Linked DNA regions of Sus scrofa. The protein of the gene in region 2 purifies or fractionates together with the protein of the main gene of each other region. This does not show direct contact. Links are inferred from orthologs where the notes say so. Each region holds a gene or a part of one and is shown on either strand. Other genes may lie near its edges.

What was found.
Region 1: the proteins of HNRNPA1 (region 2) and DHX36 purify together in Homo sapiens (affinity purification with mass spectrometry; 3 studies listed by BioGRID and IntAct, with this or other methods). This does not show direct contact. The link is inferred for Sus scrofa from reciprocal best matches to the Homo sapiens genes HNRNPA1 and DHX36.
Region 3: the proteins of HNRNPA1 (region 2) and ACTB fractionate together in Homo sapiens (co-fractionation; 3 studies listed by BioGRID and IntAct, with this or other methods). This does not show direct contact. The link is inferred for Sus scrofa from reciprocal best matches to the Homo sapiens genes HNRNPA1 and ACTB.
Region 4: the proteins of HNRNPA1 (region 2) and HNRNPC purify together in Homo sapiens (affinity purification with mass spectrometry; 8 studies listed by BioGRID and IntAct, with this or other methods). This does not show direct contact. The link is inferred for Sus scrofa from reciprocal best matches to the Homo sapiens genes HNRNPA1 and HNRNPC.
Region 5: the proteins of HNRNPA1 (region 2) and HNRNPR purify together in Homo sapiens (affinity purification with mass spectrometry; 7 studies listed by BioGRID and IntAct, counting the BioPlex papers as one, with this or other methods). This does not show direct contact. The link is inferred for Sus scrofa from reciprocal best matches to the Homo sapiens genes HNRNPA1 and HNRNPR.
Region 6: the proteins of HNRNPA1 (region 2) and FAM120A purify together in Homo sapiens (affinity purification with mass spectrometry; 4 studies listed by BioGRID and IntAct, counting the BioPlex papers as one, with this or other methods). This does not show direct contact. The link is inferred for Sus scrofa from reciprocal best matches to the Homo sapiens genes HNRNPA1 and FAM120A.
Region 7: the proteins of HNRNPA1 (region 2) and HNRNPF purify together in Homo sapiens (affinity purification with mass spectrometry; 3 studies listed by BioGRID, with this or other methods). This does not show direct contact. The link is inferred for Sus scrofa from reciprocal best matches to the Homo sapiens genes HNRNPA1 and HNRNPF.

The regions. Positions count from the first base shown.
Region 1 is NC_010455.5:94,301,834-94,305,333, forward strand, and holds part of DHX36 (ATP-dependent RNA helicase DHX36), read right to left. Parts: intron 1,584-3,500; coding exon 1,463-1,583; intron 819-1,462; coding exon 666-818; intron 296-665; coding exon 110-295; 3' UTR 1-109.
Region 2 is NC_010447.5:19,483,736-19,487,976, reverse strand, and holds the start of HNRNPA1 (heterogeneous nuclear ribonucleoprotein A1), read right to left. Parts: upstream 2,801-4,241; coding exon 2,786-2,800; intron 2,241-2,785; coding exon 2,124-2,240; intron 1,831-2,123; coding exon 1,684-1,830; intron 1,554-1,683; coding exon 1,343-1,553; intron 1,252-1,342; coding exon 1,159-1,251; intron 1,074-1,158; coding exon 981-1,073; intron 872-980; coding exon 797-871; intron 523-796; coding exon of another isoform or gene 364-522; intron 1-363. UniProt on the Homo sapiens protein: Involved in the packaging of pre-mRNA into hnRNP particles, transport of poly(A) mRNA from the nucleus to the cytoplasm and modulation of splice site selection.
Region 3 is NC_010445.4:4,087,584-4,091,766, forward strand, and holds the start of ACTB (actin, cytoplasmic 1), read right to left. Parts: upstream 2,801-4,183; 5' UTR 2,676-2,800; intron 1,963-2,675; 5' UTR 1,957-1,962; coding exon 1,834-1,956; intron 1,702-1,833; coding exon 1,462-1,701; intron 1,015-1,461; coding exon 576-1,014; intron 478-575; coding exon 296-477; intron 166-295; coding exon 22-165; 3' UTR 15-21; exon of another isoform or gene 1-14. UniProt on the Homo sapiens protein: Actin is a highly conserved protein that polymerizes to produce filaments that form cross-linked networks in the cytoplasm of cells.
Region 4 is NC_010449.5:77,966,145-77,970,410, forward strand, and holds the end of HNRNPC (heterogeneous nuclear ribonucleoproteins C1/C2), read left to right. Parts: intron 1-1,745; coding exon 1,746-1,906; intron 1,907-2,393; coding exon 2,394-2,507; intron 2,508-2,754; coding exon 2,755-2,915; intron 2,916-3,014; coding exon 3,015-3,098; coding exon of another isoform or gene 3,099-3,116; 3' UTR 3,117-3,766; downstream 3,767-4,266. UniProt on the Homo sapiens protein: Binds pre-mRNA and nucleates the assembly of 40S hnRNP particles. Interacts with poly-U tracts in the 3'-UTR or 5'-UTR of mRNA and modulates the stability and the level of translation of bound mRNA molecules. Single HNRNPC tetramers bind 230-240 nucleotides.
Region 5 is NC_010448.4:81,215,417-81,218,916, forward strand, and holds part of HNRNPR (heterogeneous nuclear ribonucleoprotein R), read right to left. Parts: intron 1,840-3,500; coding exon 1,704-1,839; intron 1-1,703. UniProt on the Homo sapiens protein: Component of ribonucleosomes, which are complexes of at least 20 other different heterogeneous nuclear ribonucleoproteins (hnRNP). hnRNP play an important role in processing of precursor mRNA in the nucleus.
Region 6 is NC_010445.4:42,860,150-42,864,393, reverse strand, and holds the start of FAM120A (constitutive coactivator of PPAR-gamma-like protein 1), read right to left. Parts: upstream 2,801-4,244; 5' UTR 2,737-2,800; coding exon 2,263-2,736; intron 1-2,262. UniProt on the Homo sapiens protein: Component of the oxidative stress-induced survival signaling. May regulate the activation of SRC family protein kinases. May act as a scaffolding protein enabling SRC family protein kinases to phosphorylate and activate PI3-kinase.
Region 7 is NC_010456.5:61,665,146-61,669,163, reverse strand, and holds the start of HNRNPF (heterogeneous nuclear ribonucleoprotein F), read left to right. Parts: upstream 1-1,218; 5' UTR 1,219-1,307; intron 1,308-1,635; exon of another isoform or gene 1,636-1,703; intron 1,704-2,261; exon of another isoform or gene 2,262-2,352; intron 2,353-4,018.

The DNA.
Region 1 (3,500 bases), on a different chromosome or scaffold from region 2:
CTTACACATGAAAAGTATTCATGTCCTAGGGTTTGGCATCAAGCCAAAAGTTAAACCATGATGGAAAATGGCTGTCAAATTGACTTTTCAGACCACCACAGAAAAGCTGTCAGCTATAATATCCATCCTGGAATCGTGACGGCAAATTCCTGGGAGTTGCTTTCTCCTGTGTTTTGATCAAGTCTATAATAGCTGAGAGTACTGCACAGTCTCTGGATTTAGTGTCCTTCCAGTCTACAGGATGGGGGCTTTCAATCTTCTCTTGCAGAAGGATATCTAGTTCCTTTCTTAATTCCTAAAGTTGGAAAAATTGCACATGTTCAATAAGGGAAGATATACTAGCAAACAATGTAATAAAAAGTGACTTTAGCAGGTTCAAGGAATTTCATAAGTAAGCTATTATACAAAAGACTGAAATATTTAGTTGGCAACTAACTAAAGTGTAATTATGAGTAGATGACTTGAGTAAAAAAATTCAAAATTCCATCATATTGAGCCACTGAAAATGGTTCGTAATTATTTCAAAAAACAATTAAAAAAACTATGAATCTATTTCTCAACACAACTGCTCTGCTGAAATAAAGCAAATGTTTAATGTAACTAGATCACAAGACCACATACTAACTTATATGCAGAATCAAAGACAATCATGTAAAGTCAGTCACCTTAACGAGATGGGCAATTCTTGCCGGAGACTGAAAGATAATCCATTCATCTACAGCAATAGTTTCCTGATCACTATCCTTCTGGATGGAAATATCACCTCCAAAAAACAAGAGACAGTATGGGGAAACTTCTGTGCAGTCATACAAGTATATCTATAATGAGAATCAAGGCAAATTAATACATTAAGGTGTCTGAAAGGATTACCACCACATTAACTCAGTAACATCACTAGTATCAATCTGTTAGTGCATTCCTTCTAAAACAGGTATTATCTTGTTAGCGTAATTACAAAGAGTAATATTGAAGAAATACTATTTTAAACAAGCCATTCTTCATCACTTCAGAGAACAAAGGAATTTTATATTTTGCTTCAATATAAAAAAAGCACTATTCTTTAAACAAAATATTTTGAGTGATAAAACACCAATGTAGCTGAAGTTTTCTATTTATCTATAAACAGACTCCCACTTAATATTCTGACCAATACATATAAGGTGTATTGACAGGCAAACAAAATTCTTTGTACAATGTAGATTTCTGTATATCAAAATATCAGTATTTCTTGAAAGCATGCTCTGAAAAAAAAGTAAACAAATCAAATAACCTTCCCAATTAAAATAAAAAGATCCATCATGGCAGACCTGCACATTGTAAGTACAAGTTATCTGCTTCAAGTTACGTCATGTCAGAAACAAAATTTTTTTAAGAGAACAGATTTTGTTTATAAATATAAAAACTATACAATTTAAAAAGTACAAGCCTGTTATTCAGAGCCTTATTTTATACATTCACTTACACTACTTGTTCTCATCTTCAGGTGATAGATAAGCCAGTTGTAGTGAAACTCTGTTTGCTCCACGTTAACAGATTTAGGATGAATAGCAACTAGTCCATCAGTTTTTGTGTAAACTTTCACCCTGTAAAAAAATTAAAGTGTAGTTTAAAAAAAAAAAAAAAAACTCTTGAGGATTCCAAAGCAATCCCAGAATCAAAACCAACTCCAAAAATGAGTTCATTTTATTTCTGCAATATAAACTTTCAAATTTATATTTGAGGAAAGAGAATTTTATTGTAATAAAATATGGAAAAATATCAGCTAAATGTGAATACTCTGGAAGTTTCCATTGTGGCACAGCAGAAATGAAACCGACTAGTACCCATGAGGATACAGGTTTGATCCCTGGCCTCGCTCAGTGCGTCAGGGATCTGGTGTTGCCATGAGATGTGGTGTAGATCCCGCAGACGCGGCTTGTATCCTGCGTTGCTTTGTCTGTGGCATAGTCCGACAGCTACAGATCTGATTTGACCCCTAGCCTGGAAACTTCCACATGCCTAAAAAGCCAAAAAAAAAAAAAAAAAAGGAATACTCTGAATCATACAAATCCTATTCTTTTTTTTGTTGTTGTTGTCTTTTGTCCTTTTAGGGCCGCAGCCATGGCATATGGAGGTTCCCAGGCTAGGGGTCCAATGGGAGCTGTAGCCACTGGCCTACGCCAGAGCCACAGCAAGCAACGCCAGATCCAAGCCTTGTCTGCGACCTACACCATAGCTCTCGGCAACTAGGGATCCTTAACCCACTGAGCAAGGCCGGGGATCAAATCTGCAACCTCATGGTTCCTAGTTGGATTCATTAACCACTGAGCCATGACGGGAACTCCCAAATCCTATTCTTAAATGTATAATTACTCAAAATATTAGAAAGGTGAAAGCATATTTCCTAATTATGTTAATACATATCCTATTCTACTGAAGGACAAAGAATGAAATAAATACCCGAGATAATTCTAAGTGACCAGACCAAGAGAAGTCTACACATTTTACTGTCAATCATGATGCTAATAGTCTTCAATTTACAGAATAACTGTGAAATGATCAATTACAAAATTTCATGTTATGTACCCAAATACAAAAAATGAATTCTGTTTAAAAAGAACTTTAGTTATAAATGATTTTTAAAAACTTATTCTAAAAAAATATGTTTTTAAATGGCCTCAAACCAAACCCCCAATTTGAAAACAGGAATACCTAGAATAAATGTACATAGCTCTAATTTTGTCTGTTCATTCCTATGGGCTTTCCTTTGATAGTCATAAAAATTTTACCTCGATTTGTAGGAGTTTTTAATTATTACTCAACAGGGAGATGTTTGATGGTTTATATAGTAGTAATCACTCCATAAAAATGATAATTCATTAATCCTTCCTATTTATTTTTAAGAGCATCTTTTTCATGGTCCTAGAATCCATAATACTTCTATTGGAATCACGAATGACAGTCATGAGTCATTACTCAGAACAAAATCAGCAATTATTTTTCCTCAGCATGCAATTTAACCAATTTCACCCCTATAACCCTGTATCACTAAAGCAGTAAGGTTTGGCAAATTTTTTCTATACAGTACCAGAGAGAAAATATTTTAGGCTCTGTGGATCCTATGATCTCTGTTACAACTACTCAACTCTGCTAGTGTAGCTGGAAAGCAGGCAGAGACAACAGGTTAACAAAGAAGCACGGCTGTGTTCCAACAAAAATTTACATAAATAAGCTTTTGGCCAGTATGTCAAAATGTGCTAACCTCTGGCTTAGACCAAAACAAAGCATCAATCCAAAGAAAACTACGTTTTTTTCATAAAGCCTTCCCATGATGGCAAAGGAATATAAATATTTGTATTTCAGGAGTTCCCATCATGGCTCAGCAGAAACGAATCTGACTAGCATCCATGAGAACCCAGCTTCCATCCCTGGCCTTGCTCAGTGGAAGGATCCGCATTGCCATGACTGTGGTGTAGGTCACAGACTCAGCTCGGATCTCGTGTTGCTGTGGCTGTGCAGGC
Region 2 (4,241 bases):
ATTCAGTTGAATAATCCAGTAGCTAGAAATTTACCCCTGACTCACCATGGTAGAGCAAGTAGTATAGTCTCTAGCCTCGAAGGCTGTTGTTACCCATCCAGGGGCACCGCAAACACATGCTGGATACATCAACTAAGTGCCTAAATAAAAGCTAACCTAATCCCGATTAACTGTAGGCACCACTATCCCCCTTAATCTATTTGGGAGTGAGGCGGCCCCAGCTTAAAGCTAGGAGGAGGTAGCATTGCAAGCCCATTAAAAGAAAGTACCATGCAGTAAAACACATTATGCCTAGAGAGCATCAAGTTCCCATATGGCTAAGCTAGCTATTTGCACCAAGTACTTGGATCACTGGATACCTACCACTACCACCGCCAAAGCCGCCTCCGCCTCCTCCGTTGTTATAGCTGTCATAGCTGCCACTCCCGCCATAGCCACTGCCCTGGTTTCCATAACCCTGTCCACCACTTCCATAGCCTCTGCTTCCTCCAGAGTAACCAGGGCCGCCTCCTCCATAACCACCTACAAGAATACAATTCTTCTCAATAAGACACAAGTATTCAACATTCAAATTCTGTGCAAGCATGATGGCTAAAGGCCGGCTCACAACATGCTGTAAGAGTCAAACTTGAACTTATCATGCACTAAAGTTTTAGTATCTACTAGCCTATTCTAAAAGTAGTCAAACTTTTTACCTGTAGTTTCTTAAAAAACAAAAAAATCCAACAACAAAACGAACTAAAAAAACCCACACACGCACACACAAAATTTTAACAGTAAAAACAAAAAAACTTACCGTCATTACCAAATCCATTATAGCCATCCCCACTGCCACCATATCCACCACCACCACGACTGCCACCAAAGCCACCTGGAACAGAATTTAAAAGCCAGGTTTGAAGTATGTGGATCGCATACAAATCACACCCTTCTAAGCCTAAATTCTAAGAAGCGTTAAAATAATAAAAAACCATACATACCTCGACCACTAAAGTTTCCCCCACGACCAAAGTTGTCATTTCCACCAAAACCACCTCCACGACCACCACCAAAGTTTCCAGAACCACTTCGACCTGAAGAAAAAAATGTTAACGTTAAATTGTACCGGTTAAAATCATTCAAAATGATGCTTAAGGTTTAATTAAGCAACAAACTCACCTCTTTGGCTGGATGAAGCACTAGCCATCTCTTGCTTGGATAGGGCTTTCCTCACTTCACAGTTGTGGCCATTCACAGTGTGGTATTTCTGAACTGAAAAATTTGAAAGTAAGACACCATCTCAGAGTTTAGGACACAAATGGATTTCAGAACTCTTAGCGAATGCCAACCACCTGCTACTTACTGACAATCTTGTCTACGGAGTCATGGTCATCAAAAGTTACAAAAGCAAAACCTCTCTTTTTGCCACTGCCCCTGTCCGTCATGATTTCAATCACTTCGATTTTCCCATACTGTTCAAAATAATCTCTTAGGTGATGTTCTTCAGTGTCTTCTTTAATGCCACCAACAAAAATCTTTTTCACAGTTAAGTGGGCACCAGGTCTTTGAGAATCCTAAAGGGGGAGAAAATAGTAACAATCCTAAGACCATGTTAATACTAAGTCTGTTACATCCCCTTAATGTGAGTGAATCCTGCTAATCGAACATTTCCAGTCGATGAAACACAAGAAAAACATCACTTACTTCTCTTGAGACGGCCCTCTTTGGTTCCACAACTCTTCCATCCACCTTGTGCGGCCTTGCATTCATGGCTGCATCCACCTCCTCCACAGTGGCATACGTGACAAACCCGAAACCTCTGGAGCGCTTGGTGTTTGGGTCCCTCATTACCTTTAATGTTTATTTAGCACATGGTAAGACACCAGAAGTTACAGCCTTTTCTACCTTGACTAAGGCAATGGAAAACTTTCTACCAACCCTCTAAACGAAGCTCTTCAATGACCACCGCCCCCACCCCTTAAACCTAACAATTGGGAGCTTTTCAGCTATGAAGCCACACCTTCCTTTGTCAAGTAAGCTATAAAGTCAATAGGAATCTTCATAAGCATTCAAACAGCAACGACAGCGAGATAAGCCAAGAAAAACAACTAGCTCTAAGGCCTTTTGTCTCTTCCAAGTCTTACCACACAGTCTGTGAGCGTTCCCCATTGCTCAAAATGGCTCCTCAGACTCTCATCGGTTGTTTCAAAGCTCAAACCTCCGATGAAGAGCTTCCGCAGCTGTTCGGGCTCTTTGGGAGACTAGAAGTAGGGGCAAAAAAAGCGTTAAATAGGGCTATAACGCAAACAAGCTCCCCGCTACAAGAAGCAACACCAGGTAGCAACGTACGAAGCTTTTATTGTTCCCTCGGGTCGCTGTAAGCCACGTGCTTCTCCCCATCTGGGGAGGCGGTATGTTGGGGGCTGGGAAGCGGCGAGCGCATGCGCCCCTTACTCTCCCTACGACGCACGCGCAACAAAAGGACTGGGAGGGCGTGCATCGCCAAAATTGGACTACAGCTACTCTTTAAGAAAGTCGTCCACTAGGACAAGGATGAAAAACAGACCGAATGTGTCCACGAGCATTGCAAAAAAGAACGAGAGCAGCGTGATAACCAAGGATTGCACGACGACAGCCTCATGGCGACGAGGACAAAATGGCGACCTGAACTCAGGGAGGGGTAGGCCCCGGCAGCGACCGAAGAACTGCCGAAAAGGCTGGTGCAAGCAGCCAAACCAGACTGCACCCTACCAAACTCAGCAAGCGGCGAAGAAGAAAACGCAGATGAAAAAAGAGTCTCACTCACCTCTGACTTAGACATGACGGTAGTGGGGAGGAGGTTACAACGATGCTTACTCGGCGGCGTCCGGGGGCAGAAAGGAGTAATCTAACGAACGAGTCTGCCAGCCTACCTTCGGCCTCGCTTTTTTATCCCGCCTCCTCGCGTTCGGCATTGGTAGACTCCGCCCCTGAGTAGCTCTGATTGGATATTTGACATAGCTTTCCCCCACTATTGGTCTCTCGTATGCGTTGCTGTGTAACGTCATCCGTTTGGGCGTTCTACGCAGTCTCAACCCCTCCCGGTCCATTGGTTCCTAAGTAATATTATTCTTAACTAGACTGATTGGCTGGTCAACCAATGATTCATATTTGAATTATTTCGGGTATTGAGATAACTTTTTAATTAGCTATGTCCGGAATATTCAACGCCTGTGTCAAAGCATTTTTAATACTATGTATCAAAAAAGTAGCTAGCATGTGACAATTTGGCGGAACGGGGGCGGGGGCAAGATCGCCTGCTGAGCGCATGTGTAGTAAAATGGCGAGTTTACGCAGGCGCGCTAAGAAGTTCCGCCCGGAGCTTGCAACACGTGAAATGGCGGGCAGGAGACAGCGGCGAACCTAAGGCGCCTGCGTAGTGGCGGGAGTTGTGCCCCCTTTTGCGCAGGCGTAATGGGCGGGGAAAGGGTCGGGTCCCAGGATTGGTCGCGCAGGCGCAGGGAAGGATCCGTTTTGGCGGGCGGTTGGCGTTGCGCAGAAGGCGGCGGCGGCGGTGGCTTGTGGTCCGGCCGCACCACAGAGGAACAGGCGAGGCGTTAGCGTGAGTGATCGGTCTCGACCCCCGGTAAGTGGCGGACCATCTTGCCTACCCATACGAGGTCTTGAACTGACTCCAACTGGGCCCGTTATTGTGTGAAATGAATGGACCTCGGGGTGGGGGCTCGTGAAGGGGGAGCGGTGAGATCGGCCAACCAATGGAAGAACGGGGGCGGGATGTTTTATCCCCGTAGGTTCTGTGGAGCTTTGCAGCGGAAGAGTTTGACTGGCGAGTGTATAGGCCAATTGGGGCTGTCCTTAGCTGCCGACTCATCGGTCCTTGGGCCATCGGTATGTGGGAGGCGGGCTTTCTCCTCCTGAGCAGCATCTCACTGAGCCAATGAGCACGAAGCGCGCGGTAGGTTGGGCTCCTCCAAGAGGCCACGATTTGACTCCAATGGGGGATGCGGGAGTTGGGCGGTTAGGTGGATGGACCAAATCGGGAGCCAGTAGGCGAGCAGCCTCTGGAAAGCGCTCAGGCTGTTCGTCCAATCAGCGCTCCAAAAGAGGGAGGTCTTAGATTTGGGGATGCGAGGAAGGGGATTCAATGCCTGTGATGGCGCGTAGGGGCTATTTTATTCACAATGACTTTAACAAAACCTGTGGGCCTCCGTGCCACACTTCTCTGGTAGGAAAGCTGTTAAGTTTGGTCCTGTATTCCTCGG
Region 3 (4,183 bases), on a different chromosome or scaffold from region 2:
GGAATGCAACTAACAGTCCGCCTAGAAGCATTTGCGGTGGACGATGGAGGGGCCGGACTCGTCGTACTCCTGCTTGCTGATCCACATCTGCTGGAAGGTGGACAGCGAGGCCAGGATGGAGCCGCCGATCCACACGGAGTACTTGCGCTCTGGAGGCGCGATGATCTGGAAGGAGAAGGGGACAGTGAGGCGGGTGGCGGTCAGAGCCCTGGTCCCCAGAGCACCCGCTCCGCGGCGGCTGCCGTGGCACCCACGCCGCCCGGCCGCACCCGGCCAGCTCAGGCTGGGCACTCACCTTGATCTTCATCGTGCTGGGCGCCAGGGCCGTGATCTCCTTCTGCATCCTGTCGGCGATGCCTGGGTACATGGTGGTGCCACCCGACAGCACCGTGTTGGCGTAGAGGTCCTTGCGGATGTCGACGTCGCACTTCATGATGGAGTTGAAGGTAGTTTCGTGGATGCCGCAGGATTCCATGCCTGAGGGGGGAGAGAAGCCCGACTGAGCTTCCGCTGTGGCCACCACCGGGTGAGCCAGGGGGGGCGGGGGGAAGGCAGGGCCAGGGCTGCGTCCTCACCCAGGAAGGAGGGCTGGAAGAGCGCCTCGGGGCAGCGGAAGCGCTCGTTGCCGATGGTGATGACCTGGCCGTCGGGCAGCTCGTAGCTCTTCTCCAGGGAGGAGGAGGACGCGGCAGTGGCCATCTCCTGCTCGAAGTCCAGGGCGACGTAGCACAGCTTCTCCTTGATGTCCCGCACGATCTCCCGCTCGGCCGTGGTGGTGAAGCTGTAGCCCCGCTCCGTCAGGATCTTCATGAGGTAGTCGGTCAGGTCCCGGCCAGCCAGGTCCAGACGCAGGATGGCGTGGGGCAGGGCGTACCCCTCGTAGATGGGCACCGTGTGGGTGACCCCGTCTCCGGAGTCCATCACGATGCCAGTGGTGCGGCCAGAGGCGTACAGGGACAGCACGGCCTGGATGGCCACGTACATGGCTGGGGTGTTGAAGGTCTCGAACATGATCTGGAGGGAGGGAGGGACGCTGTCACCCTCGGGAAGCCGCCGGGGGCAGTCAGGCCGGACTGGGGACATGCAGAGAGTGCAAGGAACACGGCTAAGTGTGCTGGGGACCCCAGGTCGGGGAGTCACGTCAGACCTACTGTGCACCTACGGGATACACACTCCGAGGCCCCTTTACGGCAGCCTCGTCGGCTTTGTCACACGAGCCAGTGTTAGTACCTATACACCCACAGCACCTTATGCTTTTAACACCTAGTCAGAAAGGCAAACACGAGAAAGACTCCAGCTGGGGAAAAGCAAATAGAACCTGCAGAGTTCCAAAGGAGACTCAGGTCAGAGAAGAAAAGTCCTAGGAAAATGGCAGAAGAAAGAACAAGTGAGAAAGGGCGTGGCAAAGAGGGGCAAGAGAGGAGGGGGCGGCCGCCCGAGAGAGCCCAGTGGGCCACTGACCTGGGTCATCTTCTCACGGTTGGCTTTGGGGTTCAGGGGGGCCTCGGTCAGCAGCACGGGGTGCTCCTCGGGGGCCACACGCAGCTCGTTGTAGAAGGTGTGGTGCCAGATCTTCTCCATGTCGTCCCAGTTGGTGACGATGCCGTGCTCGATGGGGTACTTGAGGGTCAGGATGCCTCTCTTGCTCTGGGCCTCGTCCCCCACGTAGGAGTCCTTCTGGCCCATGCCCACCATCACGCCCTGCGGAAGGAGGGGCGAGGCGCCTTCAGCCCGGGCCCGGCCCCACCGGCCCCCACGCAGAAAGCCTCCCCCTTCCCTCCACCTGCTACCAAGACCCCACCCACCAAGTCAGACCCGAGGGCGGCGCCCTACCTGGTGTCGGGGGCGCCCCACGATGGAGGGGAAGACGGCCCGGGGAGCATCGTCGCCCGCAAAGCCGGCCTTGCACATGCCGGAGCCGTTGTCGACCACGAGCGCAGCAATATCGTCATCCATGGCGAACTGCAGGGGCAGCAGGACCGTGAGCCGGAGGCCGGGTGCGGCCGCCTCCGCCCTACTCACTTCCGGCGCGACGCGCGTTCGAGCCGCCAGGGGGCGCCGGCACGCGCCCAGATTGGGGACAAAGGAAGCCGGCCGGCCGCGTTATTACCATAAAAGGCAAACGCTGGTCGGAGGCGGCCCCGAGGCGCGCGGCAGGAAGCCAGGCCTCCGCCCCCTCCCCACTGGGCGCCAGCCCCGCCCCGCCCAAAAAGCGCCACTCGGCGGGCGCGCGGCGACCACACCCGGGGCGGCCCGTGGCTCCGCGAGGAAGTGCGCGCAGGCGCTCTCGCGCCGCGGCGACCCCACCCCTTCCGGCCGCCCGCCCCGCCCTCGCCTCCTGGGCCTACGGCGCACACGCACGCGCACTGGCGTCCCAGCCCCCACCCGGCTCGGCCACCGCGCCGCGCCCACCCACCCGCCCCGCCGCCCGGCTGCACTGCTCTCCCGCCGGCGGAGCGATCGGCCCGCTCGGACAAAGAATCGCCGCCGCTAGGGCTCCCAAAGAAACACTCTGGGAGCGCTCCCCGAGCGCAGCCCGGGCCCCGAACGAGGAGCGCATGAGTCCATTCCCGGCACCCGGCCGGCTGTCCACGGGGCCGGGGCGGAGGGGGCCACCTGCCCACAAGAGGCACGGGCCCAGCGCATCAGCGGCCCGGCCGGTGCGGGGACCCTACCTGGTAGCGGTGTAGACCGGCGGCGAAGGCGGAGCGGCAAGGGCGAGGGGCCTGTGCTGGCGGAGTGGACGCGGTCTCGGCTGTGGCTGTGCGTCGCGCCGCCGGGTTTTATGGGGCGCAGTCGCGGCGGCTCGAGCCATAAAAGGCAACTTTCGAAACGGCGAGCGCTGATTGGCCCCGCGCCGCTCACTCACCGGCCTCGCCGCACAGTGCAGCATTTTTTTACCCCCTCTCCCCTCCTTTTGCAAAAAAAAAAAAAAAGAAAAAAAAAAAAAAAGAAAGAGGGAGGGAGATGGACTGGCTAGGAGAGAGCGAGAGCGAGATTGAGGAAGAGGAGGGAGAGAGTTTTGGCGTCGGCCGCCCTTGGGTGCTGGGCCCCAACAGTGGGCCGCCGCCCGCCTGAGCAGTGTCGGGTCCGGCCCCGCTTGGCCAGGCCTGCACCCGGCCTGCTGGTCTCCGGGTCTCCCCACCCCGGCACCCTCCGAATGTGGATGCCCCAAAGCAGTGAGCGCCCCTGTGGGCAAGGGTCAGCACGGATGCGAGAGTCCCTGGTTGCTGTGGGTGCATGCTTAAGGAGCAGGTGGGGGAAAGGAGTGATGAGAGAGTCACCCTCCCCTTGGCGACATTAGCTCTGCTGCCCAGAAAGCCTGGGTAAGGGGGGGCCCCGACTGGGGGTGCTGAGCTTGCTAAGTGGGGGTGCTGAGCTTGCTAAGGGGGCACATTACTTAGAGACCGTGGGCTTGAGGGCTATGGTGGGGCATGCTTGAGTCAGGGGACTTGGAGACACGTAGCAGGGGCTTCAGGACTGCAGTCTCTAGGGACAGGACAGGCCCCAGGGGCTGGGGGCTGGAAGTTCCCCGTGAAGAGGGCTCCAGGCCTCCCTTGCTGCAGGCCCAGGAGAGGTGGGCTCCGTAGAGCAGAGAAGCTGTTCCCATGGAGCTGGGCTGCGGCTGAGGCTGCCTGGTCACACCCAGCCAAGGCCAAGCCTGGGCCATTAGCTGGCGACCCAGGCAGCTGCCAAGCACTGCTGGCTGCAGGCAGGCAGGGCCACTGAGCACAGCTCTGGGACCCACCATCCATCGTCTGTCTGTCACGTGCAGCCACAGCTGAACTGCCCTCCTAGACCATCTGGAGGCCACCAAGGACTGGGGAAGGACATTCAATGTGCCAGAGAGGAGTTAGGGGGAGGGGGGTGGGGCAGCAGGGACCAGCTGGGGCCCACTCCTGCCCTGGTCTCTCCACCAAACACGGGGTCAGACCTGGGTGCCCCCGGGTGTTCCCAGTGGTTCCCTGCTCTGGGAACTGCCTGTCCAGCAGGGAGAGCCTGCACCCAGGCGGGGGCCACCAGTGGGCAGTGAGTGGCCGAAGGAAGCCCAGCGGGGCAGCGTGGAGGTGCACCTTCTCCGAGGCCGTGACAAGCTGAATTTTCCCACAAAGGAAACAGGGCAGAGGGGTCCAGGTGGGGGCCCTGGCCTGCCCTCGGGCGTCTGTCTCCAGGTCTGCCTAGG
Region 4 (4,266 bases), on a different chromosome or scaffold from region 2:
GAGTGCTTTAATAATTTTTATCAGTCATTGATTCTTTGGCACATGGTAAATCATTATTATGCTGCAAGAGGAATGGTGTTGGATGGTCAATGCTTAAAAACTGTTTGAGTGAAGATTAGTAGTAAGTCATTCCCTCACTTCTTTGGCAGTGTTCCTAGCATAGCCACTTATAGGAAAATATTAAAAATATTATCTTGTTAAAGTAGGGTGGAAACATTTTTATATTAAGGTAGGTAAGGTTTTTTTTCCTACTGATAATGTTTTACTTATACTGTCATGGGTTTTTGTAAAATAACAGATTGAAGAGACTTTGTAGAACCGCTCTCCATGTTTTTGGTTGTATTTTGGATTTTCTCTTTATAAATGTTCAGAGTCAATACCAGGCCATCACTTTGGTGTATCTTTTTTTTTCCTCTTGGCCGCACCATGGTATATGGATGTTCCTGAGCCAGGGATCAAATCCAAGCCTCAGCTACGGCAACACTGGATCCTTAACCTTCTGTCCCAGGCTGGGGATGAAACCTGATCTGTCTCAAAGACAATGCCAGATCCTTAACCTGCTGCAACACAGTGGGAACTACACTTGGGTGTATATTTAGCAGTCACTGGGATTACTTGTCCAGGGGAAGCAGCAGTTGAGCAGTCAGTGATTTTTGAGAACTAAATGTGTGCTGGACACACTAGTGAATAGTGAACAAGATAAACAATATTCTCTGTTGAAACTTTGAGTGGAGCTTATGCTGAATGTTAGAATTGATAGTGGTAGTGGTATTTATGCCCAGCTAATACATGAAATGCCTGTTTCTGTAGGCCAAAAATGGTTAATATTGGCCATTTTATTGGTTCAGTGTACTGTTACTAACTAATGGTAGTTACTTGTATGTTTCTGTGGTTAAAAAGATCAGGCAGGGGAGTTCCCGTCATGGCGCAGTGGTTAACGAATCCGACTAAGAACCATGAGGTTGCGGGTTCGGTCCCTGCCCTTGCTCAGTGTGTTAACGATCCGGCGTTGCCGTGAGCTGTGGTGTAGGTTGCAGACGCGGCTCGGATCCCGCTTTGCTGTGGCTCTGGCGTAGGCCAGTAGCTACAGCTCTGATTCGACCCCTAGCCTGGGAATCTCCATATGCCGTGGGAGCTGCCCAAAGAAATAGCAAAAAGACAAAAAAAAAAAAAAAGATCAGGCAGGATTTAGGTAACAAGAGCGCTGTTTGCAGGCTTGGTTGAAAATAATGTTCTTTTGGAGTTCCCACTGTGGCACAGTGGGTTAAGAACTCAACTTCAGTGGCTTGGTTCACTGTGGAGGCACGGGTTCAACTCCCTGGCTTGGTGCAGAGAGATTAAAAGATCTGGCATTGCTACAGCTGTGACATAGGTTGCAGCTGCAGTTTGGATTTGATCCCTGGTCCAGGAACTTCCATATGCTGAGGGTGTGGCCATATTTTAAAGAAAAAAAGTAATGTTCTATTAAAACTGCCATTGTACATAGGAACCTTTTATGTCCAATGCTTAAGGCAACCAACCATATTATTGGATGTGTGTGTGTGTATATGTATTTTCTTGAAGGAAAGTGGCTGCAGTATTAAATATCAAAGAATAAAGAATTTTACTGGCCTTTTGAATTAAATTAGCAAAAAATTATTATTGTAAGGCGGTGGACAATATTTTACTATTTAATAAGGAGACTGTTTGAATCTTCCTGACTCAATTTTAGTGGTGAAGGAATTCTTTTTCTTTTTCTCTAACAGGATGTACAGTTACCCAGCACGTGTTCCTCCTCCTCCTCCTATTGCTCGGGCTGTAGTGCCCTCAAAACGCCAGCGTGTATCAGGAAACACCTCACGAAGGGGCAAAAGTGGCTTCAATTCTAAGAGTGGACAGCGGGGATCATCTTCTAAGTCTGGAAAGTGTATGTATTATTATCGCAGCTTTATGATTCTTATATTTCTTGTGTGTTGAAATAGGGAAATTAATGCAGTTAATAATCAGGTTTTGTACAAATGACTTTGGATAGTCAAAATTATAAAAGGTGACAAATAGTGATTAAAGGGCCAACTCTAAACAACCTAACGCCTTGGTAATTTGAAAAAAAGTCATTAGATTTTAGAGAGTTGAAATACCTATTCAGTGTATGAAATGTGTTAGTAAAACAGAACCGAAAATGCTTTAAAATAGAATTGAGGTCTTTGGCTTGCCTTAATGTTAAGAATGCTGCTGCTAAGGGATAGGCACATTAGATTCAGTTTTCAGCTTCCACCTAAAAGATCAAAGGTCCCTGTTACTAGGACAATTTGGTACAGGCTCCATTTCCCTCCAGGGATCTCATGTTGGTTACTGTTGTATAGTCTAGGTGAAGAGTGTGTTTGAGTCTAATCTAGATTTTATTTGTATTAAAGTAAAAGGAGATGACCTTCAGGCCATTAAGAAGGAGTTGACCCAGATAAAACAAAAAGTGGATTCTCTACTGGAAAGCCTGGAAAAAATCGAAAAGGAACAGAGCAAACAAGGAGGTAAATAATGGTCCTACACTTGTTGGGTGTAAAGTAGGGTTAGTTACCTAAGATAGTTGAAAGTGTATGTTGGAGTAGTGGGATATAAAGCAGTTGATGAATTTGAAACTTGTGGAGTTTGAATTGGGAAGGGCATTTGTGTGGGAGGATTTAGACTTGTGCTGCATCTCTGTGATCATTAGTGGGGATTGTCTACATCCTGTGGACATTACTTGCCCCTAGACAGACTTGTCCTTCTCATCCCCAGTAGAGATGAAGAATGATAAGTCAGAAGAGGAGCAGAGCAGCAGCTCCCAGAAGAAAGATGAGACTAATGTGAAGATGGAGTCTGAGGGGGGTGCAGATGACTCTGCTGAGGAGGGGGACCTACTGGATGATGATGATAATGAAGATCGGGGGGATGACCAGGTGAAAACCACGGGAAAGGAAAGAAAGAGGTGGTGGAGGGGGGATCAGGGACACATGGAGTGCCTCTAACTCCATCCTATTTGTGTCTGTTTCTCACAGCTGGAGTTGATCAAGGATGATGAAAAAGAGGCTGAGGAAGGAGAGGATGACAGAGACAGCGCCAATGGCGAGGATGACTCTTAAGCACATAGTGGGGTTTAGAAATCTTGTCCCATTATTTCTTTACCTAGGCGCTTGTCTAAGATCAAAATTTTCACCAGATCCTCTCCCCTAGTATCTTCAGCACATGCTCACTGTTCTCCCCATCCTTGTCCTTCCCATGTTCATTAATTCATATTGCCCTGCGCCTAGTCCCATTTTCACTTCTTTGACGCTCCTGGTAGTTATGTTAAGTCTTACCCTGTAATTTTTGCTTTTAATTTTGATACCTCTTTATGACTTAACAATAAAAAGGATGTATCGTTTTTATTAACTGTCTCCAAAATAATCTGTTGTTATGCAGGGAGTACAGTTCTTTACATTCATACATGAGTTAGTAGTTGCTTCCCTAACTGCAAAGGCAATCTCATTAGTTGAGTAGCACCTGAGAGCAGCTTTGAGTTAGAGGTATGTGTGTTATACCCCACATAAGAGTGCTGTGTGGGGCTGTTCAACACAAATGTAACAATGTATTTTTGTGAATGAGAGTTGGCATGTCAAATGCATCCTGTAGAAAAATAATTAGTGTAATAGTCTTAAGATTTGTTTTCTAAAGTTGATACTGTGGGTTATTTTTGTGAACAGCCTGATGTTTGGGACCTTTTTTCTCAAAATAAACAAGTCCTTATTAAACCAGGAATTTGGAGAAAAAATAAACACCCTGGTTTTTTATTTTTGTATTTTATAGTTGTTTACTTCAAATTCTTTGTTCCACAGCAGCTTCCACAAAACCCCTAGAATGTACTACTAGATAATGTTTTTCTTTGAGTCATAACTACTCTGCATACCAACATACACAACTCAAATTGTTTTGCTGGGGTGGGAGTTGAATTAAGGAGACAAGTGACTTGTGGAGTGGAGATTGTTTTGCAAATATGGCTTTTAAATACTGATGATAAAGTTTGGGAACTACATTAAGCTGTTTTTGTCGGTGCTTTGTGGTCCAGTTAGCACCCTTTTTGAGATTTTTTTATTGTGTGCTAAATTGTTCCATTTCTAAATAGAAGAGGCTCAAACATGTCAAGATTTTAGGAAAAGGTGAAACAACTGGAGAATGAAAGCTGTATTTTCTTCAATTTTAGTTCTTTTGATTGCTATTTATAGCCCTAGTTACCATGTGGATTCTGAGTCTATGCCTCAGTGTTACTGAAAA
Region 5 (3,500 bases), on a different chromosome or scaffold from region 2:
CAGCTCACAGCAATGACAGATTTTTTTTTTTTTGTCTTTTTCTATGGCCGCACCCGCAGCATATGGAGATTCCCAGGCTAGGGGTCTGATCGGAGCTGTAGCTGCCAGTCTACACCAGAGCCACAGCAACATAGGATCTGAGCCGCGTCTGCGACCTACACCACAGCTCACAGCAACACTAGATCCTTAACCCACTGAGCAAGGCCAGAGCTCGAACCTGCAACCTCATGGTTCCTAGTCGGATTCGTTAACCACTGAGCCACAACAGGAACTCCAGTGCCAGATCCTTTAACCCACTAAGTGAGGCCAGGGATCGAACCAGCAAACTCATGGACACTATGTCAGGTTCCTTTTTTTTTGGTCTTTTTGCCTTTTCTAGGGCCGCTCCTGCGGCATATGGAGGTTCCCAGGCTAGAGGTCCAATCAGAGCTGTAGCCACCAGCCTACGCCAGAGCTACAGCAATGCGGGATCTGAACCGCGTCTGCAACCTACACCACAGTTCATGGCAATGCCGGATCCTTAACCCACTAAGTGAGGGCAGGGATAGAACCTGCAACCTCATGCAGGTGGATTCGTTAACCACTGCGCCACGACGGGAACGCTATGTCAGGTTCTTAACCCCCTAAGCCACAAGGGGAACTCCTAAAACATGTTTTTTAAATGAAGTTAGTGGAATTCCCATTGTGACTCAGAGGATTAAGGACCCAACACTGTCTCCATGCGGATGTGGGTTCAATCCCGGCCCTGGCTCACTGGGTTAAGGCTCCAGCGTTGCCACAAGCTGCAGCGTAGGTTGCAGAAGCAGCCTGGATCCAAGGTTGCTGTTGCTGTGGCATAAGCCTCAGCTGTGGCTCTGATGGACCACCCCTGGCCCAGAAACTTCCATATGCTGCAGGTGCAGCTATAAAAAGGAGATAAAAATGCAGCTAGCATTAGTGGATCTCCATCAGCATTTTAACAAAATGAAGTGGAACAGGAAATATCAAACTAAATCATATAAAGTGAAATACGATTTTGTCAAATTTTGTTGTACATACCTCTGCGATATAAAATATTCTTCTCAATCAACCCCATGAATTTAGAATTGGAAACTCAGAGAAATCTGATCTAGACAAGGTAAGAGGACGGATGAGGATAAGAACTCTCATCATCTTGGCCCTAAAGCACACTGAATGTCAGGGGGGAAAGCTGAAGGCTATGACAGAGGCCCTGGCAAAAGCCAAGATTCGGTTAAGGCAAAGGAGTGAAGGGGACACTCCAAGAAATTCAGAATATAAAGAAAGCTGCTTCACCCAAACCACTAAAAAGCACAAAGGAAGCAATTTAGACACTGAATAGATATGTGAATACTTAGCTTAAGATAACGTTTTTGGAGTTCCCGTCGTAGCACAGCAGAAATGGGTCCGACCATGAGGTTGCAGGTTTGATCCCTGGCCTCGCTCAGTGGGTTAAGGATCTGGCATTGCCGTGAGCTGTGGTATAGGTCACAGGCATGGCTTGGACCTGGCGTTGCTGTGGCTGTGGCCTAGGCCGGTGGCTAGAGCTCCAACTGGACCTCTAGCCTGGGAACCTCCATATGCCGCAAGTACGGCCCTAAAAAGACCAAAAGACAAAACAAACAAAAAGATACCCATTTTTTTCGCACTTATAAATAGTACCACAGATTTTCCAAAACTAATTTCTAAATACATTTTTGTTTTACCTGTGACTTTACTGAATTCTTCCAGAATGTTTTCTTTAGTCTTATTCTTCGGAATTGATCCAACAAAAAGCCTGTTGTTTGCCACAGAAATGCACACTCCAAGGTGTTTACCAGGGCGAATTTCATAGCTGTCACACTGAAAGGAAGAAAAGAACCAGACACCCCACAACCACCCCAAACTCAGAACAACTGATCTCAATCTAAAAAACTGAACAATTTAAGGTCAAACATGCCTTGTTTCATGAACTCACAGAGTTCCCTCACGTCTGCCGTAACATAAAATGTTTATTTTTAAACTTGTCGCAGCCTCTCATTTTAGTTTGGTTTTATTAACATTCACTCTTCCACTACAGAAAAATGACTCAAACTTACTTTATCTTAAAAAAAAAAAAAAAAAAATCTGACTTCATATTTCAGTATTATCTATCTGAAGATTTTTTTCCCAGAGGAAAAAAACACCTGAGACTGATCATTCAGGTTCCTTGGAGATGAAATCAGACATTGATAAGCCACAGGCAACATAACAATATATAAAGAGTAACCACTATGTTTAATCAATGCAAAAGAAATTTAGAATTTCACACTATACACTTAAAATAGAATTCTAAAATTTTCAAGTACGTATCAAACAAAATACTTCCAAAAAAAACCAGATGAAATGATAGGAATAAAAAATGTTTTATTTAAATGGCTATGGCGATGATTTCCTTGATATACTTTAGCTGCTTATATGCTTTAACATTACTTACCTACTTGTTTACTAAAATATATAATTTTAAAAAATCATCCATATGTTGCCAGATAAAAGGAAATAAAACTTTGAAAATTTCTCAGTATTAAATAAACAAACTGAAAGAAAAGGAAAACTGGAAGGAAACGTCCATAATAAAAACTGAAATCTGGAGTTCCTGTTGTGGCACAGAAGAAACAAATCCGACTAGGAACCATGAGGTTGCAGGTTCGATCCCTAAGCCTTGTTCAGTGGGTTAAGGACCTGGCATTGTGCCGTGAGCTGTAGTGTTAGGTAACAGGCTCAGATCCTGTGTTGCTGTGGCTGCGGTGTAGGCTGGCAGCTGCAGCTCCGATTGAACCCCTAGCCTGGGAATCTCCATATGCCTTGGGTATGGCCCTAAAAAGCAAAAACAAACAAAAATAAAAACCCAAAAAACTAAAATCTGGGTCAAGCTAGACGTAGAACTAATTTAGAGGCACTAATGAAACCAAAAGCCTTGGTGAAAGAGGTTACCATTCCAGAAGAACTAGACTAAGTAAGCCTTTAGCTCTCTGGCAAAAAAGTTTGCCAAAAAATGATGACTGCTATTTTGAGTTTCTGAGATGGTTGCATCTTAATACAGTGGAAGTGAAGATACAATTTGCGTAACTGTTAATACTACTACTCTCCACTGAATTAAGTACAAAGGGTAAAATAAAGGAAATTACCCAAAGATTAGTTATAAAACAGTATGAAAGATAAACAGAAAACTAGAGGGTCAGGGAACAAAAAGACAGAAAAGAACAATATACTTAGAAAACTGTACAATGATAAAATCAAAATGGATTTACAACCATTTCCTGAATTGTGTCCTGTGGCCCAGTTACATTCCCCAGAACACACCCCAGACTTCATCACACATAGGAAACTTCAGATACTATTCATTCCAATAAATAACTTCTTGGAATTACGGGAGACTTTCTCTAACACCTTATTTCTTGGGTATTTTCATTTCTTTTTTTACTTTTACTTTTATAATCAGAAAAAAGAGCAAAGGTCACATATCAACCCAGTCAATACAAAAA
Region 6 (4,244 bases), on a different chromosome or scaffold from region 2:
TGCCAGGTAAGTGTCCACCAGGGAATTGAGTCCTTGCTATATTAAAGTGTACAACTGTACTACATTGTAATTCTACATCAGAAGTTAAAAGCCTATCTGAAGCAAAATAATTGTAGACAAAATTACCTTGAATTCAGAAACCTAAGTGGAAGATCTGGTCAAAATTCTGAGCACTTAGTAGGTAAAAGTGAGCAGTGAGCAGAGGCACAAATATCAAGAAATTTTACAATCTAATTTTACAATGAAAAAAGAATTCAGGGAGTTCCCGTCGTGGCTCAGTGGTTGACAAATCCAACTAGGAACGATGAGGTTGCGGGTTTGATCCCTGGCATTGTTCAGTGGGTTGGGGATCCGGCGTTGCTGTGAGCTGTGGTGTAGGTTGCAGACGTGGCTTGGATCCCGCGTTGCTGTGGCTCTGGCATCGGCCGGCGGCTACAGCTCAGGTTAGATCCCTAGCCTGGGAACCTCCATATGCCGAGGGAGCAGCCCTAGGAAAGATTAAAAAAAAAAAAAAAAAAAAGAATTCAGCCATCCTTTCAACAGATACAGCGACCATGTATACACACTGAATCTAATCCTAAGTAATATTTCAGGTGTTCTTCTGAAAGCCACGTTACTAGACAGCTCGTAGTCTTTTCAATAGTAATTTCCATCTCTGGACAACTGTTAACCCTCTTAAGGTATCATCTGAAGGTGGACCACACCTGGGAATCAGTACTGTTTTACTTTCCAGGGAGCACAGGCTCCAGGGCAGAGCAGCGGCAGTCCCCGGCTCTCACCCGAACTTCCCCAGGGACGCAGGCTAGGTCTCTGCCACACTCACAGGCCAATCCACGCTCTCGCAGCAGCCTCAACCGGCAGACTTAGCAGCCCTGTCACCAATTGCAACAGGAGGCGGGTGGGACTTCCGCTATCACTTTAGGCTTAACCCCCACCATCTCAGCACAGGCAGAGCAGTCAGGAAGTTCGAATTTCACAAACTTTGGGATCAGGCACAGTTTCAAGCAGAAATAAAGGAAGGACAAACACATTGGAAGGCAGAGTGGCAGCAGTCAGAAAACCAAAACAGCCCCCCCCAAAATTTTTAAAAGAACCACTGTGGAAAAGGAAGCAATCGAAACTCAAGTCAAGGGTCATTGATTTGCATGTAATCTCTGCCATCACTGCTGGGTCCTGAAGCACTCCTTGGCCTGAGTTCAGGGAGGAGCCTTCTGCCAAATGGACAGCAGAGTGCTGGACAGTCGAAGCTCTGATTACCTGAGTGCACAGCCCAAAGTGGCAGACTCTTCACTGTGCAGAGAAATAAATCCTGGAAACTCTGATTCACATTCTCTTCGCCCTGACTTTTAAGCTACTCGTTTCACATCACATACACAGAACCAAAGACTTTTTCACGCAGACTCTCAGTACAGAACTAACAGAATTCCATGTCAAACTTTATGGCTCTTTGAAATCTAATGCACACAAAAACCAATTTCTCGAAAAACTACCATCTTACAGGGAACCTGGACCCAGGCCTGAGTTCTCAAGAAGAGACCAATTCCTCAGGCCTTGCCCAGGTCACTGCCCCCAGCTGAGCCGGAGTGACCGCAGTAGGCAGAACTTCAATCCACCCTCAATGGATGGAGACCCCTTCCTGTTGCCAGCCAGCCCACCTGCTCCCACAAAAAAACCTGTTGCTGTTCAAGTCTTGCGAAATTCGAAAACGAATGTCTCATGAAAGTTGACGTTAGGAGCTTTAAAGAGTGGAGGAATACGCGGGATCTCAGCAAGGGCGGCACTGTGCCCTCCGAGCTTGCAGCTACCGCCTGGGGCAACCCAGGCCCCCAGATCCCGGGCACTCGCAGCCGCCGGCCGGACTCCAGGCCGCGCGTCCATTTTGCAGCAGGTCCGTCAGACAGACCAGGAGGGGAGAGGAACCTGCGGTCCCCGGGGCCCAGACCCCCACCGGGGCCCCGGCCCCAGCCCGGCTCCAACTTCAGCTCCTGGCCCGCAGAGACCCCAGATCCCAACCCCGGCCCAAACGCAGATTCCAGACTCGGACTCGGCCCCGGGCTCCAGACTCAGACCCAGGCCCGGACCCCAGACCACCCGCCCACTCCAGACTCCAGTCCAACTCTGACCGCGGACTCCAGATCCCGGCCCACCCTGACCCTGAATTGAAGCGACCCCGGCCGGCCCGGGCTTCCAACCCTGCCCCTGGCCGGCCCGTCGGCCCCTACCGACCCCGGCCAGCCCGCCCGCCCTCTCAGCGGGCCGCACCTTGACGTGGAAGCGGATGAGCGCCAGGCGGATGCAGTGCGCCATGCAGACGGGTGGCAGGAACCAGACCTTGGGCGGCGGGGTGCCCTTGTTCTGGACATGGCTGACGATCTGCTGCGCCGTCTGGCGCTCGTTGCCCTGCCGCTTGACCCATTCGTGCAGCCGCGCCTTCTCGAGCGCGCCGTTGAAGAAGACGAAGAGCTCGATGTTGCCGCCGAAGCAGGCCTTGGCTAGCGCGGCCAGGTAGCCGAGCATGTGGTTCCACTGGCCGCCGCTCACCCAGTCGGTGTAGAAGCCGCCGTAGAGGCGGTGCAGGCAGTTGTCGGCGTCCACCAGCAGGCGCAGCGGCGTGTGCGGGGGCCGCTGCCGCCCGCCGCCCACCAGGCTGCCCCGGGCCAGCTTCTGCAGCTCCACCGGCACCACGGCGCTCGGGCAGTGCTTCTCGATGTAGTCCTGGAAGCCCTGCACGCCCATGGCGGCGGCGGCGGCGGGCGCGGGGCGGCGGGGCGGCGGGGCCGGGGGCGGCGGGGCCGTGGCGCGAGCCGGGGCCGGGGCCGGGGGCGGGCTCTAGGGGGGGCCGGGCCGGGCCGCGGGCGCGCTCATGGCCGCTGCGGCCGCCATGTGCTGCCGCCTCCCAGGGCCATGGCGGGGAGGGACCTGCGCCGTGCGCCGCTCCAGGCCCAGGCCAGGCGGAGGCGGCCTCGCGCGGGCGGCGGCGGCGGCAGCGGCGGGGCGGGGCGGGGCGGGGCGGCGACGGCTGACGTCCGCGGGCCGGCGGAAGAGGCGGTGCCGCGGGGCGGGGCGGGCAGCCGGAGCCTGAGACCCCTACCCACACGATCCCCGGCCCGCGGGAGGGGCGCCCGGCCCAGGCGGTGCGCGGGGTCTGCGCGAGCTTCCGGGAGGCCTCGGGGCGGCGGCCTCACCTCCTCCGCTTTATGACCCCTAGAGCTGTCACCGGGGAAGCCTCCTCGCATCCCTGGGGTACGGTCACCCCAGACGGTCTTGTCCGCGGAAGCCAGTCGGACAATCCCTTTCCCGGCCCCGCTGCGAACCGCTCACCCCGAGGAGGCCACGTTGTGTCCTCGGGATCCGATCACCCTGAAGAGTTCTCATCCTGAAAGCTGGTCGCCTCGAGGAGGAGGCCCGGCCCGTCGCCGATGGCCATAAGAAAGCCCCATTGTCATCCCCTGCGCCGGTCATTCCAAGGAGGCCCTCTCGCGCCCCCGTGGACTGGTCACCCAGAGAAGGCCCCTTCCCGTCTCCAGGAGTCAGTCACCTGAGGAATCCGCGTCCATCCCCAGGAGCTGGTCACCCCGAGGAGACCTCAGCCTGACCTTGGGGTATCATCCCCTCAAGGAAGCCACATCCAGTCCCTTGAGAGACGGTCACCAGAGGAGGTCTCATCCCTGGGGTGTGGCCACCCCAAGAGTCTCGTCCTGGTCCCAGGGGCAGTCACCCAAAGGTGGGACCGGTGCCCTGGCGGAGGTGGCTGCAGACTGAAGAGTAGGCAGGCAGTAGACGTCGGGGTGCATCTGGGAGGGAGGATGGTGAGCAGAAGCCATTTGTCCCAAATGGAGAAAGGAACTAGACTGTGTGCTGGGTGTAGTCACCAAGTTTTAGAAATGATCTCCTGCTCTCTCAGCTTTAATCGCATTGGTATCTTTAATTAACTTAGAAAATAACTCTCCAGACTTGCAGTTGTTCATAAGGAGTGGAGTCCTAATTCTGAGAAAGTTAGAAAGGTGGCAGATTGACCCCACGACTCGCTGGGATTACTGCTTTTCTGGGAGAAATAGGGCTGCGTTGTAAGCGGAGACCCTCACTGGAGCTCCCTTTTAGGGAGTAGATAGAGTTCCTTAACAGGTAGTTCTGACTCTGACCCCCTCAAAGTGGTTTCACTACCTGAGGCTCCCCTTTATCATTTTCCCACCAGTGACAGGTTTCATGGACCAGACCCTGAAATAGCAGACACTCTATAATGT
Region 7 (4,018 bases), on a different chromosome or scaffold from region 2:
ATATGGAGGTTCCCAGGCTAGGGGTCGAATTGGAGCTGTAGCCAGATCTGAGCCGCCTCTGCAACCTACACCACAGCTCACGGCAATGCCGGATCGTTAACCCACTGAGCAAGGGCAGGGACCAAACCCACAACCTCATGGTTCCTAGTCGGATTCGTTAACCACTGCGCCACGGCGGGAACTCCTCGCAGGCCCTCTTAGTGGATTGCATGAATCTGGTTTCACAGTCCCTAAACCCTGAAGCATCTTTTTTTTTGCAGGGGTGGGGTCGGGGGTGGGGTGGTAATTTAAATATTTGCCTCAGATTAGCTACTTGCACTTTCTTTCCATAAACAGACTTTTCTATACCATGAGCTAGCATGGGATCATTGGGTTTCTTAAGAATACCTATTTGAATTTTGTAGGACCTGTTTTCCGTAATTATGCTTCGCCTGAGTCTTCTCATACATTTTTACCTCCTGCTTTTACTTTTCCCATCCCTCCCAAATCAACTTCTTTTGACAAACTGTTCTCCTTCCTTCACTATAGGTTGTCCATTCATAATCTGACCCTATTCCAAGCACTCCCTTAATTTATTTAAAAAGCAACCTGCTTAATCAGTGATGAGTTTCTTTATATTTTCCTCTTCATGAATTGAGTCTCCAAAAATAAAATGGTAATAATTAATAATCCTAGAACACATAAAAAAATAATCTGCTCCACTGCCTCAGGCAGAGTAGCCACTTCAGCTACCATCCACCCTGTCGCTCAGGTGCTCTGAAATGTCTGCTTTTCCCTGGGGACTTGAGGGTCACCTTCAGAAACCTTAGGCCTTCTCAGCCCAAGTGATAATCACATGAGCAACCTCAACCTACCAATCCCTCCCTAAACCCTGCTCTCGGAACAGCCTTTGTCGGTTTCCAGGATTTGGTTCCCTCTTTCTTCCTCCTCGGCAGGAAATGACTCTCATTTTCTTCTGTCACGCTGGTCTTCAATCCAGGGATCCTTTGGGCTCACTGTTGGGGAAACTCTCCCAGATGATACCCTTAGAGACGCCGGAAAAACCCATAAGCCTTGCCCTCCCCTCCCTCGAGCAGGATTCGCCCACGTAACCCACCTTGCCACTTGCAGCGCCCTCGCACCGCAGGCCCCGGCCCGGTCCTGCGCCTGGCCGACCAATCCCCGACTCCGCTCCGGGCGCGTCACAACGGCGCCCTTGTGGCCCCACCCCCATAACCCGCCTTGGAGACTCCGCCCCGCCGCGGTCTTTACGTCCTTCCGGCTCCGTCTTGGAAGTGGGGTTGCGCCGCGTCTTTCAGGAGCGAAAGGTGGGGTTCTGCAGAGAAAACGGCCCGCGGTCACGCCGGCAGCCGGAGGCGGGGGCGGGGGCAGGGGCTCCTGGGGCTGTTGTTCCCGGGTATTTGGGCGCAGGTCTGAGGAGGGGAGGGTCAAGGCAAACCAAGGCATAAGGGCTTCCGGAAGCGCCGCGTGCGCACGACGGGCGGGAGTTGTGGACTCAGGCCTTCCGCGCGCCTGACCCCGCCCCTCGTAAGCCCCGCCCAGGGCGCGCTGCCAGAGGTTTCCATAGTGATGGTAAACAAGCCTCAACTGCCTCTGCTACAACTGCCAAGTCCCCCGCGTTCCACCCTCTTCTAGGTGCTCACAGGGTCGACCGAGGTGCCGGATGTGAAGACGAGCGGGAGCGTGGAGACTCGGAGCCCAAGGTGAGGGGTGGTAGGGGCGGCGTGTCCGAGGCCTACACACCAGAAACCGAGGCCCCTGGCATTGAGGACCGAGGAGCTGAGATTTGGGGGTCAGGGGAGGCGGGATCTGTGGTAAAGGCCTGCACCTGGGCCTACTGGAGGTTGAAGACCGTGGGGCTGAAATTTGGGGTCTGAGATCAGGAGCCACACACCTAGGGACCGACTAGGTCCTGAACGAGGACCTGGCCCACTGAGGGTGGGGCCTGCGGGACTGAGATGTGAACTTCGGGGAGGTGGGCCTGAGGCCACTGGTTTACATTCGGGGACTGGATCGCGGGGCTGAGGTTTGGTGTCAGAGGACGCAGGATCGGAAGGGAGGAAGAGCCTGGTGCGGACTCTTGGGGTGGGGAGGCAGAGCCCGAGCGCCCCTGCCTGGGGTACGGTGAAAACATGGGGCGACCGTGAGAGGGGGTTCATTTAAAAATGAAAGCAGTACTTTCACGTGGCTGCGCGCGTCAGGGAGTTGCACGGGACTGGTTGGGAACTGACTCCTCCCCCCTCCCACGTTCCCGCTCGCAGAGCCTCCACTTTCCGTCTTTGCGGCCTTTTCTTCCTCTCCGCGCCGCGTGTGTGCCCTGAGCCGGTCTGCATTTGTCTCCTGCTCTCAAAGGTAGCATGTGGATATTTTGGTTGAAACTGTTCGGTTCTTGTTGTCTTTGCCTGGTGCCCACACTTCCGCTGGGGAAACTTGGTCGGCCGTTTTTTTATTCTTCACTTATCCTTTTATCTTTGAGTGTATTTTTGCTAATTCGTGACTGCGCCCCAGAAACTGCTGGACGCTGCCGGCGCTCGCGCGGCTCCCTCTGCCTCCCAGCCCCCGCGTGGCCCACGTAAGGTGGCGCCGAGCGGTCTGGGTGACGCCGCGCGAGACGCGGGGCCCGACCGACCCTGGGCCCCGGTGTTTTACGGTTAGGAGGCCTCAAGCTCCTCCCGGTTAGTCTTTTCCTTATCAGGGGACCCCCACAGGTTCCCGCCGGACGAACCTCAGGCCCGGGAGAGCCTGCCTCCCTTCTCCGGCTACCTGCGAGCCCCGCGAGACGCCCTTCGCGGCAGTTTCCTTCCCTTGGAGGCCCTACGACAAACCAACGTGCTTCACAGCTATTTTCGAGCCAGAGAACCTGGCGTGGGGGGAAGGAGTTGCCTGCCTCGGCGGGCGGGTTGTTCAGCGGGACCGGGGCCCGAGAGCTGCTGTGGGGGTGGGGGAGGGGCCGGGTGGCCGCGGCGGCTTCCGCGGAACCGGCCGCGGCTGGCGGCGGTGGGGGGAGGGGGGCCCAGGCTCCCAAAGTTAGGGGCGGGCCTCGGTAATCGGACCCTTGTAGAGCCGGGAGAGTTAGTTGAAGGCTGCAAATAATCCTTAAACGAATGCGTCAGCGAAACTACCGGTCTTGATATTCTTACTATTACTTTTAAGTCACGTTTTTAAAAGTTAACTATTTGTGCGTTTCTAGTAAGAATGAACAAACCTCGGGTTCTCCGGTCAGACAAAAATATTAGGATCTATCAGTGAAAAGTGATGTTTTCAGTTCTAATGAAGATAAGCTCCTTCATTTTAAAATAAGTAAATTTACTAGTTAAGCAAGTTCGGCCTTTGCCTCGGGGAGCTCCTCTTAATAGTATGCGTTTCTGTAAATTGATTAGATTTATTCTTTCCGTGTTATAGTCTACTTTTTAATTTTTAACTGCTAAGCGACTGATTTTCACTTGAGTATTGTTAACGTACCTCCCTTATAAAGTAACTCAAGTAAAAATGAGAATGGTTTAAGGGGAGGGATTGATTAAACAGGAGGAGAGTTAGTCCTTTGATAAGGTCAAAACTGGGGAAGACAACAAAAGACAAAAAGACAAAAAACAAAAAGACAAAAAAAAAAAAAACTGGGGAAGAGTGGAGACACACGTGGTGCGTGCCCTTTGGAGTAGTGCCTGGTGGGGCTACAGAAGTGGGAGGGGGGCCCCCCATCGACAGAGGTGACTTTCCCATCAACCTCCCCTCTCCAGTCTGAGTTTTGGCTCTCAGACTCTTTGTGGAATCACACTGATTGGCCCTCAGTAGTCCAGACACAGAGCTAGGTGTTTTACACTTTTCTAATCACATGCCCGCGATCAGTCCATAAGGAGATATTACTGCTATCCCCATCATACAGATGTGTCCTAGAACACATCTGGGACTGTTCTTAAGTCTGTCTGACGTGGGACATCCCTCTGCCAGGACCCCTGCCTCCAGTTAGTTGCTCTGAACAAGGGTTCTTGTGGAAGACAAACGATTGGGCAGAGGGAGA